Linked DNA regions of Canis lupus familiaris. The main gene of each other region encodes a partner of the protein of the gene in region 2 in a complex. Links are inferred from orthologs where the notes say so. Each region holds a gene or a part of one and is shown on either strand. Other genes may lie near its edges.

Region 1 (4,574 bases), on a different chromosome or scaffold from region 2:
ATCCTAGCAACCGCTCACTTGCTTCAAACAAAACAAAATCTAGCAAAATCTAACTATAAAAATCCCTTGTCTTTGTGATGGTGGGTTTTAACTGGTAATTACTCCAAATCTGTGCAAATGATGTGGACACCAAGTTCTCCTTTTGTAAACCAAGAATCCTATAACAGTATCATCTGCCTAAGTTGCCTAAACAGTCCTCTTTAATTCTTTTTACACCGAATGTTAATGGGGAAAAAAGGTTACATTTTTCATCTGTCTGGGGAAAACGCCTCATGAAATCAAGAGTCTAAGGGCTTTAGAAAAAATTGCCACATAACTTAAAACAGACATCAAAACAGTTTTATTTAAATGGCTGTGTCTTTGTTCCAACTTCCAACCTGGCTTTTTGAAAGGTATTACTTTACTTGTATACCCAAACCAGAAAAAAGGAAGACTTGAAAACTAGCTTCCAAAATAAGGTGAGAAGGCTCTGCTCGTAGACCAGAGATAACACCTTGTGATGTTTCCTTCTTCTGGTGTGTTAGAAAACAATTTCCAAAAGGAATGAAGTTTCTTTTTGTGATTATGGCGAAACTGTAAAATGTATTCCTGGAATCTCCAAAGTTTTTGTACTGGGAGGTTTTTTTGTCAAACCCACAGAACCTCAAGTCTGTCAAGGGTCCTAACAAAGGCACAGAGAGGGTTATGGCTGGCAGTCAAATTGGACATTCTGAGGGTCTTTTTAGTAGTTTCCAATTTCCTGGTTGAGGACTCTGCCCTGAGAATCAGCAGTGATGAATGACAAGGTAGTGAAACAAGAATTTGTTACTCTCATGGGATTGTAAGATCTTTAAATGTACAGAGTCTTTTTTTCTCTGTGGTAAAGGAAGGAGAGGAGGAGAATCAGAGAAAAGGATAAGATTCTTGGATGGAAAAGATAGCCTTTTACACTAAAGGGGAGATGAAAGAATTATACCATACATTAAGGGCATCTTTAAAAATCATAATCCACATTTTAAAGCTAAGGAAATTGTTTATGAATAATGTCTGAATTTTTCCCTTGTAAGGGCATTCATTCCTAACTTTGGACTTTCTCCCTCAGAATTACTTCTTCTTTATCTCCAATAATTTCAAAATCACTTTTAAATGCTGATTTTTCCCCCTTGTAAGTACATTTCCTTTTCCAGAGTGGTTTTCTGTTCATAGGAACATTGGAGCACAAGGTATGGAGTTCCCATATAAGTCCCCGCCCCCCCCACCCCCCAGGGGGCCCCCACATATCTCCCCACAGTATCAATATCCCGCACCAAAGTGGTACCTTTGTTAACAACTGATGAACCTACACTGACACATCCTTATTCCCCCAAATACTTTCGGGCTCATTCTTGGTGTCTGTCGTTCATTCTATGCATTTTTACCGTTCTGTACCGACAGGTACGTACCATGGTAGTCGGCATACAGAATAGTTTCACTGCCCTAAAAAAAAATCCTCTGTGCTTCACCCATCCGTCCCTTCCTCTCCAAAAGGAAGCTGACTCTTAAAAAGTAGTGTTTGCATCAATATGTATAGGCACAGGGAAGACTCCTCAAATTTTAGGTATTAGGTAGCTCTTACCCACTTGAGCAAAGGAGCAGTGTTCACGAATGGAAGGCTAACTAAGCAGCAAACAAAAAGCTGTCCTAGTGCCAGGCAAGGTCAACAAAAAGTACTGTGTCATTTAAGAGGACAGGAAACCAAAAGGGAAGAGAGGAGAATGCAATCACACTACTCTTACATTATGCTTTCCTCTTCTTAGATTCCCTGTAAGTGGCAGGTGTGGCCTTACGTGATAAACGGTTTTTCTACTGCCAAGTTTTTATGTTTCAACTCCCAACCTGAGAGTTTTGCATTTGCCTACATTTTCAAAAGTGCAGTTCTGGGGCATGAAACAGAATTAATGCTTAAGTCGGGAACTTCGTCTCTAGAAGATGAAATAATGGCAATTTTGGCAACCCTCGTGGGTCAGGGAAGAAAACTAAGGTTCGATTTTTCCCCCCTCCTTTCTCTCTGCAAAACTCCCTCTCCCTATTTGATAAGGGACAGCGAGCTTAAAGTCACTGCAAGGTACGCAGGCACGATTCCCTGGAACGAGACCTTTCCCAGGGAAGGTCACGCTGGAATGTGACATCAGCGTTCCTGCGGGGTCACAGTCGGGCGCCCACGTGCGGCTGCCCCGGGGCAGGGAGCAGCTCAGGTAGGAGCAGCTCAGGGAGGGCTGCGGGGGCTCAGGTAGGACTATGGGGAGCTCAGGTAGGGCTGCGGGGGCTCAGGGAGGGCTGTGGGGGCTCAGGTAGGACTATGGGGAGCTCAGGGAGGGCTGCGGGGGCTCAGGTAGGACTATGGGGGCTCAGGTAGGACTATGGGGGCTCAGGTAGGGCTGCGGGAGCTCAGGGAGGGCTGCGAGGGCTCAGGGAGGGCTGCGGGGGCTCAGGTAGGGCTGCGGGAGCTCAGGGAGGGCTGCGAGGGCTCAGGGAGGGCTGCGGGGGCTCAGGTAGGACTATGGGGAGCTCAGGTAGGGCTGCGGGAGCTCAGGGAGGGCTGCGGGGGCTCAGGTAGGACTATGGGGGCTCAGGTAGGGCTGCGGGAGCTCAGGGAGGGCTGCGAGGGCTCAGGGAGGGCTGCGAGTCCCGAAGGCCGGGGACGGGATGGGAGGGGGGGTGACCGGGGTCACGGTGGCAGGCGACTGCCGGCGGCCCAACTCCAGGAGCGAGGAGGCACGACGGGGGGGGCGGTGCACGGGGGACCAAGGGAGAAAAGGGAACGGAAAGGGAGCGCACAGTCACTTGTCGGGCTGCGGGAGCGGGGAAGCGCAGCGGGAGGGCCCGACCTCGGGGCGCGGGGGGCGGGGGAGGCTCCCGGAGGCTGCGAGGCGCGCCCGGTGCCCGACCCGCCCTCCCCGCACCCAACCGTCGGGGCCGCGGCCCGAGACCCGCCGCCTCGCGCCCCCGCCCCGCCCCGCCCGGCGCAGGTGCCCCCCCGGCCCCCCCCCCGCCCCCGCCCCCGCCTACCTTCTTCACTTTGGCCTCCAGCTCCATGTCCGCGGGGCCGGGACCTCGCGCCCGAGCTCGCCCGCCGTCCGCTGCGCCGCGGGGACCGGGGAGGCCGGGAGGCCGGGAGGCCCGGGAGCGGGGAGGAGCAGCGGGGAGGACCGCGGGGACCCAGCCAGGACTCCAGCGCCGCCGCCCGCGCCGCCCGCCGCCGCCGTCCAACTTCCGCCGCGGGGCCCGGGAACAAAGAGGCGCGGGCAGCCAATGGCAGCGGGCGGCGCGGGCGGCCGCCAATCACCGGGCGCCGCCGCTCCTCCGCGGGTCCCCAGGGAGGGCGGGGCCGCGCCCCGGGAGGCGAGGCCCGCGCGGCCGGGGGACCTGCCGGGGCTGGGGGAAGTCGAGGCCCGCGCGGCACCTGCTGGGGCTCGGGGGGGAAGTCGAGGCCCGCCTGGCCGGGGGCACCTGCCGGGGCTCTGGGGGAAGTCGAGGCCCGCGCGGCACCTGCTGGGGCTCGGGGGGAAGTCGAGGCCCGCGCGGCACCTGCTGGGGCTCGGGGGGAAGTCGAGGCCCGCGCGGCCGGGGGACCTGCCCGCGGGGGCTCGGGGGAAGTCGAGTCTCCCTCTGCACCTGCTGGGGCTCAGGGGGGAAGTCGAGGCCCGCGCGGCACCTGCTGGGGCTCGGGGGGGAAGTCGAGGCCCGCCTGGCCGGGGGCACCTGCCGGGGCTCTGGGGGAAGTCGAGGCTCGCTCTGCACCTGCTGGGGCTCAGGGGGGAAGTCGAGGCCCGCCCGGCCGGGGGACCTGCCGGGGCTCGGGAGAAGTCGAGGCTCGCTCTGCACCTGCTGGGGCTCGGGGGGAAGTCGAGGCCCGCCCGGCCGGGGACACCTGCCGGGGCTCGGGGGGAAGTCGAGGCTCGCTCTGCACCTGCTGGGGCTCGGGGGGAAGTCGAGGCCCGCCCGGCCGGGGGACCTGCCGGGGCTCGGGGGGAAGTCGAGGCCCGCTTGGCCGGCGGTGGAGGTGGGGACACACGCGACGGTGGGGACTGCTGGGGACTCGGTGACGGACCTGCGCCCCGAGGCCACTGTCCCCCCGGCCTGGCCCAGCCCCTCGCCCCACAGCCCCCCACGTGTTCCCTGAGCACCCAGTGGTTCAGAAACAGGGATGGGGTGAGTGGCAGTGGCGCCAGGGAGGGTTGTGACCCCCCCCCCCCTCCCCGCAGTGAGCGGCCTGGGAGGCTCCGGATCTGGGCTCTGCTGGAGACTCGTGGGCGCAGGCGGCAGCGCGAGGCTCAGGGCTTCGCTCCACGGGGAGCGCGTGAACATCACAGGAGTGGGTCTGGAAGGGATCCCCGGTTACCGAGTCCAGCTTCCTCGTTTTACTGGGAACTGAGGACCCCAGAAGTGTCCTGTCGGCATCTGCCCGACTTCCTGGGGGCAGAGCGAGCGCTCATGAGACTAAGCAGTGCCCCCAGCCTCTTTGGGGACCTAGACACCGTGTGTTGACTAAGGAAAAGAGAAAAGACAGAAGAGTCCACTTCTTTTTCAGTTTGTGGTGGTGACAAAAAACTATA
Region 2 (3,938 bases):
AGGATACCAGCTCAAAGAGAAATGGGTTTCTTGGTCTAACCTTCACAGGTTTCTTTCTCCCCTATAGGAGGGCCTGGGAGTTGTTTTCAAGAAGAGTCACCTGATGGTTTTCTAGGCTCGGGCCAGAGGAGCAAACGTGGCCTGAGATACTGAGTAATAGTAGGTGCCTCTAACCTCGAAGGACTGCACCGGAGACCCCAGGGAGCCCACGAGCGCCTGGGATGGCTAGTGCCAAGCATGGGGGCTCGTGCATGCCAGGAGCGAAACATTCTGGGGGCAGTGTGCCAAGCGTCTCCATATTCTCCCATCATCGGTACCACACTGTGTCCTGACCCCGGAGAGAGAAGGGACACAAAGGGGGACGTAGAAGCTAAGGGGAAAGGCTTTGCTAAGAGAGAGCATCCGAGCGTGCAAGATCCTGACAGGTGAAGTAAAAGGAGTGGAGAGTCCGGTGACTGCAGCCTGCAGGACGTGCGGGGCCCCTGGGTCCCTGTGTCTTGGGCCTCAGAGACCAGGTGGAGCGAGCGCCTGGCGTTGAGCCAGCACAGCAGCTCTCCCACCCACACGGACACAAAGGGCCAAGGGGGCGAGCCGGGGCGGGCGTGGGGCGGGAGGGAGCATGTGAAACACGGCCTGGCAGGCCTTAGTGGGGAGCACAGGCCAAGTGACAGTGTGTGATGGCTCCCAAAAGGTATGCACACCTTTAATCCCTGGGATCTGTGTGAATGGTACCTTTCAGGGCAAAAGGGACCTCGCAGATAGGGGAGTTGGGGAGTCTGAGGCAGGGAGGTGACCCCGCGTTACCACCAGGGTCCTGGTAAGAGGGTGGGTCAGGAGGGTCAGGTCAAGGGAGAGATGGCAGGTCTTTGAAGATGAAGGGGCCCCAAGCCAAGGAACGTAGGTGAAGGTAGCAGGGTGACTGCGGATTCCCGACCTCCGGAGTGGTAGACGCTGTTTGAAGCCACTGAGTGTGGTAATTTGTTAGAGCAGCCACGGAGGATCCAGGGCAATGAGAATGCCGTCGGGCTGCCGCACATTTGTCCGAATTCAAGACGAAGGTTGAGAAGGAAAGACAGGGTCATCCTAAATTAAAAATGCCTTTGGTTTTCACATCAACATTCTTTTGAGGTGAAGTCGAACAATCCAAGGCGGCCGCGCGAACCCCTGCTGCACAGCAGAGGCAAGTACGTGAGCTCTTAGGCAGCCGGGCATCGAGCAAAGTGAACTCCTGTTCTCTCGAGATTCGATGCCATTTCATCCTCTTGGTTCACCCATCGAACCAAGAAGGTAACACTTTTATTTTTTTTCCTAATATTTTATTTATTTGGGGGAGTGAGAGGGGAGGAGAGGTAGAGGAAGCAGCAGCAGCGTGCTCCCCTCCCCAGGCCCCTTCCCTGCCTTTTCTCTCTTGCCCTTACCATCTTCTGCCCTGTGTGTTTCGGCCACTGCCTCTCCCCCCAGCTCCTGCTGACTAGAGTGTGAACTCTACGAGGGCACAGAGGTTTTCTTTTTTCTCCCAGCTGCCTTGCACGGAGCAAGTGCTCAATAAATAAGTGATTGGCTAGATCAGGCTTATTACACAATCTAGAAAAGGGTGAAGTCACCTCCAAAACACTACCTTAAATCCACCCCAACACGGGACACAGGTTCCCAGTATCTAGAAAGCCCCGGGTCACCAGATTATGTCACAATCAGTGATGTCATCATTGGGGAAATTCCCAAGTTGCTGTCTGATAATAAGCCTTTCAGGCCTTGACCCCAGTGGGATCGAGGAACTTTCTGAGAGCAAGATGGCTCTTGATAGCATGTGGGCTCCACAGGCAGGAATCATCGGGGATGGGCCTGCCAAGAGAGGCGGCGAACAGGCCCCCCTACAGGCCCACGTCCTCCAGACGGCCTCCCTAAAGGACGGCCCGGCAAAGCGGGCAGTGTGGGTCCGCTGCAACCGTTCGGAGCCAGAAGAACCTACTAAATCAACGACGGTCAGGGAGAAGCCCAGGTTAGAGGTGACCAAAGCAGTGGTCGTGGACCTTGGCACTGGCTACTGCAAATGTGGCTTCGCCGGGCTGCCAAAGCCCACCCACAACATCTCCTCGACGGTGGGCAAGCCCTACATGGAGACGGCCAAAACCGGGGACAATCGCAAGGAGACGTTTGTGGGGAAGGAGCTCATCAACCCAGAGGTTCGCCTCAAGCTAGTTAACCCTTTGCGGCATGGCATCATCGTGGACTGGGATACGGTGCAGGATATCTGGGAACATCTCTTCCACAAGGAGATGAAGATCTCCCCAGAGGAGCACGCGGTCTTGGTCTCAGACCCACCCCTGAGCCCGCACACCAACAGAGAGAAGTACGCCGAGATGCTGTTTGAAACCTTCAGCACCCCCGCCATGCACATCGCCTACCAATCCCGCCTGTCCATGTACTCCTACGGAAGGACGTCCGGCCTGGTGGTGGAGGTTGGCCACGGCGTGTCCTACGTGGTCCCCATCTACGAGGGTTATCCTCTGCCCAGCATCACCGGACGGCTGGACTACGCGGGCTCTGACCTGACAGCCTACTTGATGGGCCTGATGAATAACTTGGGGAAACACTTCACCGAGGACCAGCTAAGCATTGTGGAGGACATCAAGAAGAAATGCTGCTTTGTGGCCCTGGACCCCATCGAAGAGAAGAAAGTCCCAGCCACTGTGCACACGATCCAGTACACTCTGCCTGACGGGAAGGAGATAAGCCTGTGCCAGGAGAGGTTTCTCTGCTCGGAAATGTTCTTTAAGCCTTCTCTTATCAAGTCCATGCAGCTGGGCCTCCACACCCAGACAGTGTCCTGCCTTAACAAGTGTGACATTGCCCTCAAACGGGATCTCATGGGGAACATCCTGCTGTGCGGGGGCAGCACTATGCTCAGCGGTTTCCCTAACCGCCTGCAGAAGGAGCTGAGCAGCATGTGTCCCAATGACAACCCCCAGGTAAACGTGTTGCCCGAGAGAGACACTGCAGTGTGGACGGGCGGCTCCATCCTGGCGTCACTTCAGGGCTTCCAACCACTGTGGGTCCACCGCTTTGAGTATGAGGAACATGGGCCTTTCTTCCTCTACAGAAGGTGCTTCTGAACTCTGAAGAAGCATGGTTGCCGTGCGTCGGCTTTGCTGGGCGAGCACCCACCCTACACATACGGAGCTGAGCCCACGTCTGCTCCTGCAGTATTAAACGAGCCTTGTGTTCCCTCCATAGCGTGTGTCTCTGTGTCCTGACTTGGTAAGAGCAAGTTCGTATATGCAGCAGGTGCCTTAAAATATACAGCTGGCAAACAAAAGTCGGGGTATGTGTGAAACACAGACCTGTATTACGTGTTGCTTGTGTAAACATTCCTGGGAAAAACAAGCTTAGAACGACTGTCCCTTTTTTGTACTCCCCACTTCAGGAACGACTGCATTGTTAAATCTGCTCAGAAGGGGAGTGTGAAGAAGATAGGTTAGAGCGTCAGGGCTGCTGGGGCGTAGAGGCACATTCCTTTTGATAAACAGCAGGAAGCATGCTATTATGGTACAGTCTCCCACAAAGCAGCAGAGTACACTTCATGCTCCATGAAGGCTTGTGAAGAGCTGATGAAGATGTCTGATCCCTGCTTCCACTGTACTTTTAGTTCCAACAGTCACTTAGGTCTCAGTATCAGTTCTTATCAAGCCATCATGGTGACAAGCTGGTGAAACCTGGCATATGAGTAAGGTACACCTATCTGTCTAAAGGGGGCAACTCTTCAGCTGCTCGTCTCCCACGAGATTCCCCATCAGCCTATCGGATATACGGCTGGAATCTGGGATGGGCACAGGATAGAGGCTGCCGGTTCCAGGGCTAATGGTGTAGGTTTTGTGGGAACCGGCCCTATGCTGGTCATTCTAACCCAACTGAGGGGCCAGAAGGCACACACAGTCCCT

What was found.
Region 1: the proteins of ACTL7A (region 2) and TES are in contact, whole or in part, in a crystal structure (PDB 2XQN), measured with the Homo sapiens proteins. The link is inferred for Canis lupus familiaris from reciprocal best matches to the Homo sapiens genes ACTL7A and TES. Residues at the interface, in NP_006678.1 of Homo sapiens: Leu28, Gln29, Thr30, Ala31, Ser32, Leu33, Arg34, Asp35, Gly36, Pro37, Ala38, Lys39, Arg40, Ala41, Val42, Trp43, Val44, Arg45, His46; in NP_056456.1 of Homo sapiens: Asn311, Glu312, Tyr313, Thr314, Gln315, Ala316, Glu317, Leu323, Phe326, Leu335, Ala336, Gly337, Glu338, Ile339, Tyr340, Val341, Tyr353, Pro370, Glu371, Val372, Gln373, Arg374, Val375, Thr376, Tyr377, Ala384, Phe389, Leu398, Ile399, Gly400.

Annotation. Positions count from the first base shown.
Region 1 is NC_049235.1:55,320,900-55,325,473, reverse strand, and holds the start of TES (testin), read right to left. Parts: upstream 3,057-4,574; 5' UTR 3,055-3,056; coding exon 3,028-3,054; intron 2,214-3,027; exon of another isoform or gene 2,151-2,213; intron 1-2,150. UniProt on the Homo sapiens protein: Scaffold protein that may play a role in cell adhesion, cell spreading and in the reorganization of the actin cytoskeleton. Plays a role in the regulation of cell proliferation. May act as a tumor suppressor. Inhibits tumor cell growth.
Region 2 is NC_049232.1:64,397,763-64,401,700, forward strand, and holds ACTL7A (actin-like protein 7A), read left to right. Parts: upstream 1-1,318; 5' UTR 1,319-1,682; coding exon 1,683-3,113; 3' UTR 3,114-3,233; downstream 3,234-3,938. UniProt on the Homo sapiens protein: Essential for normal spermatogenesis and male fertility. Required for normal sperm head morphology, acroplaxome formation, acrosome attachment, and acrosome granule stability.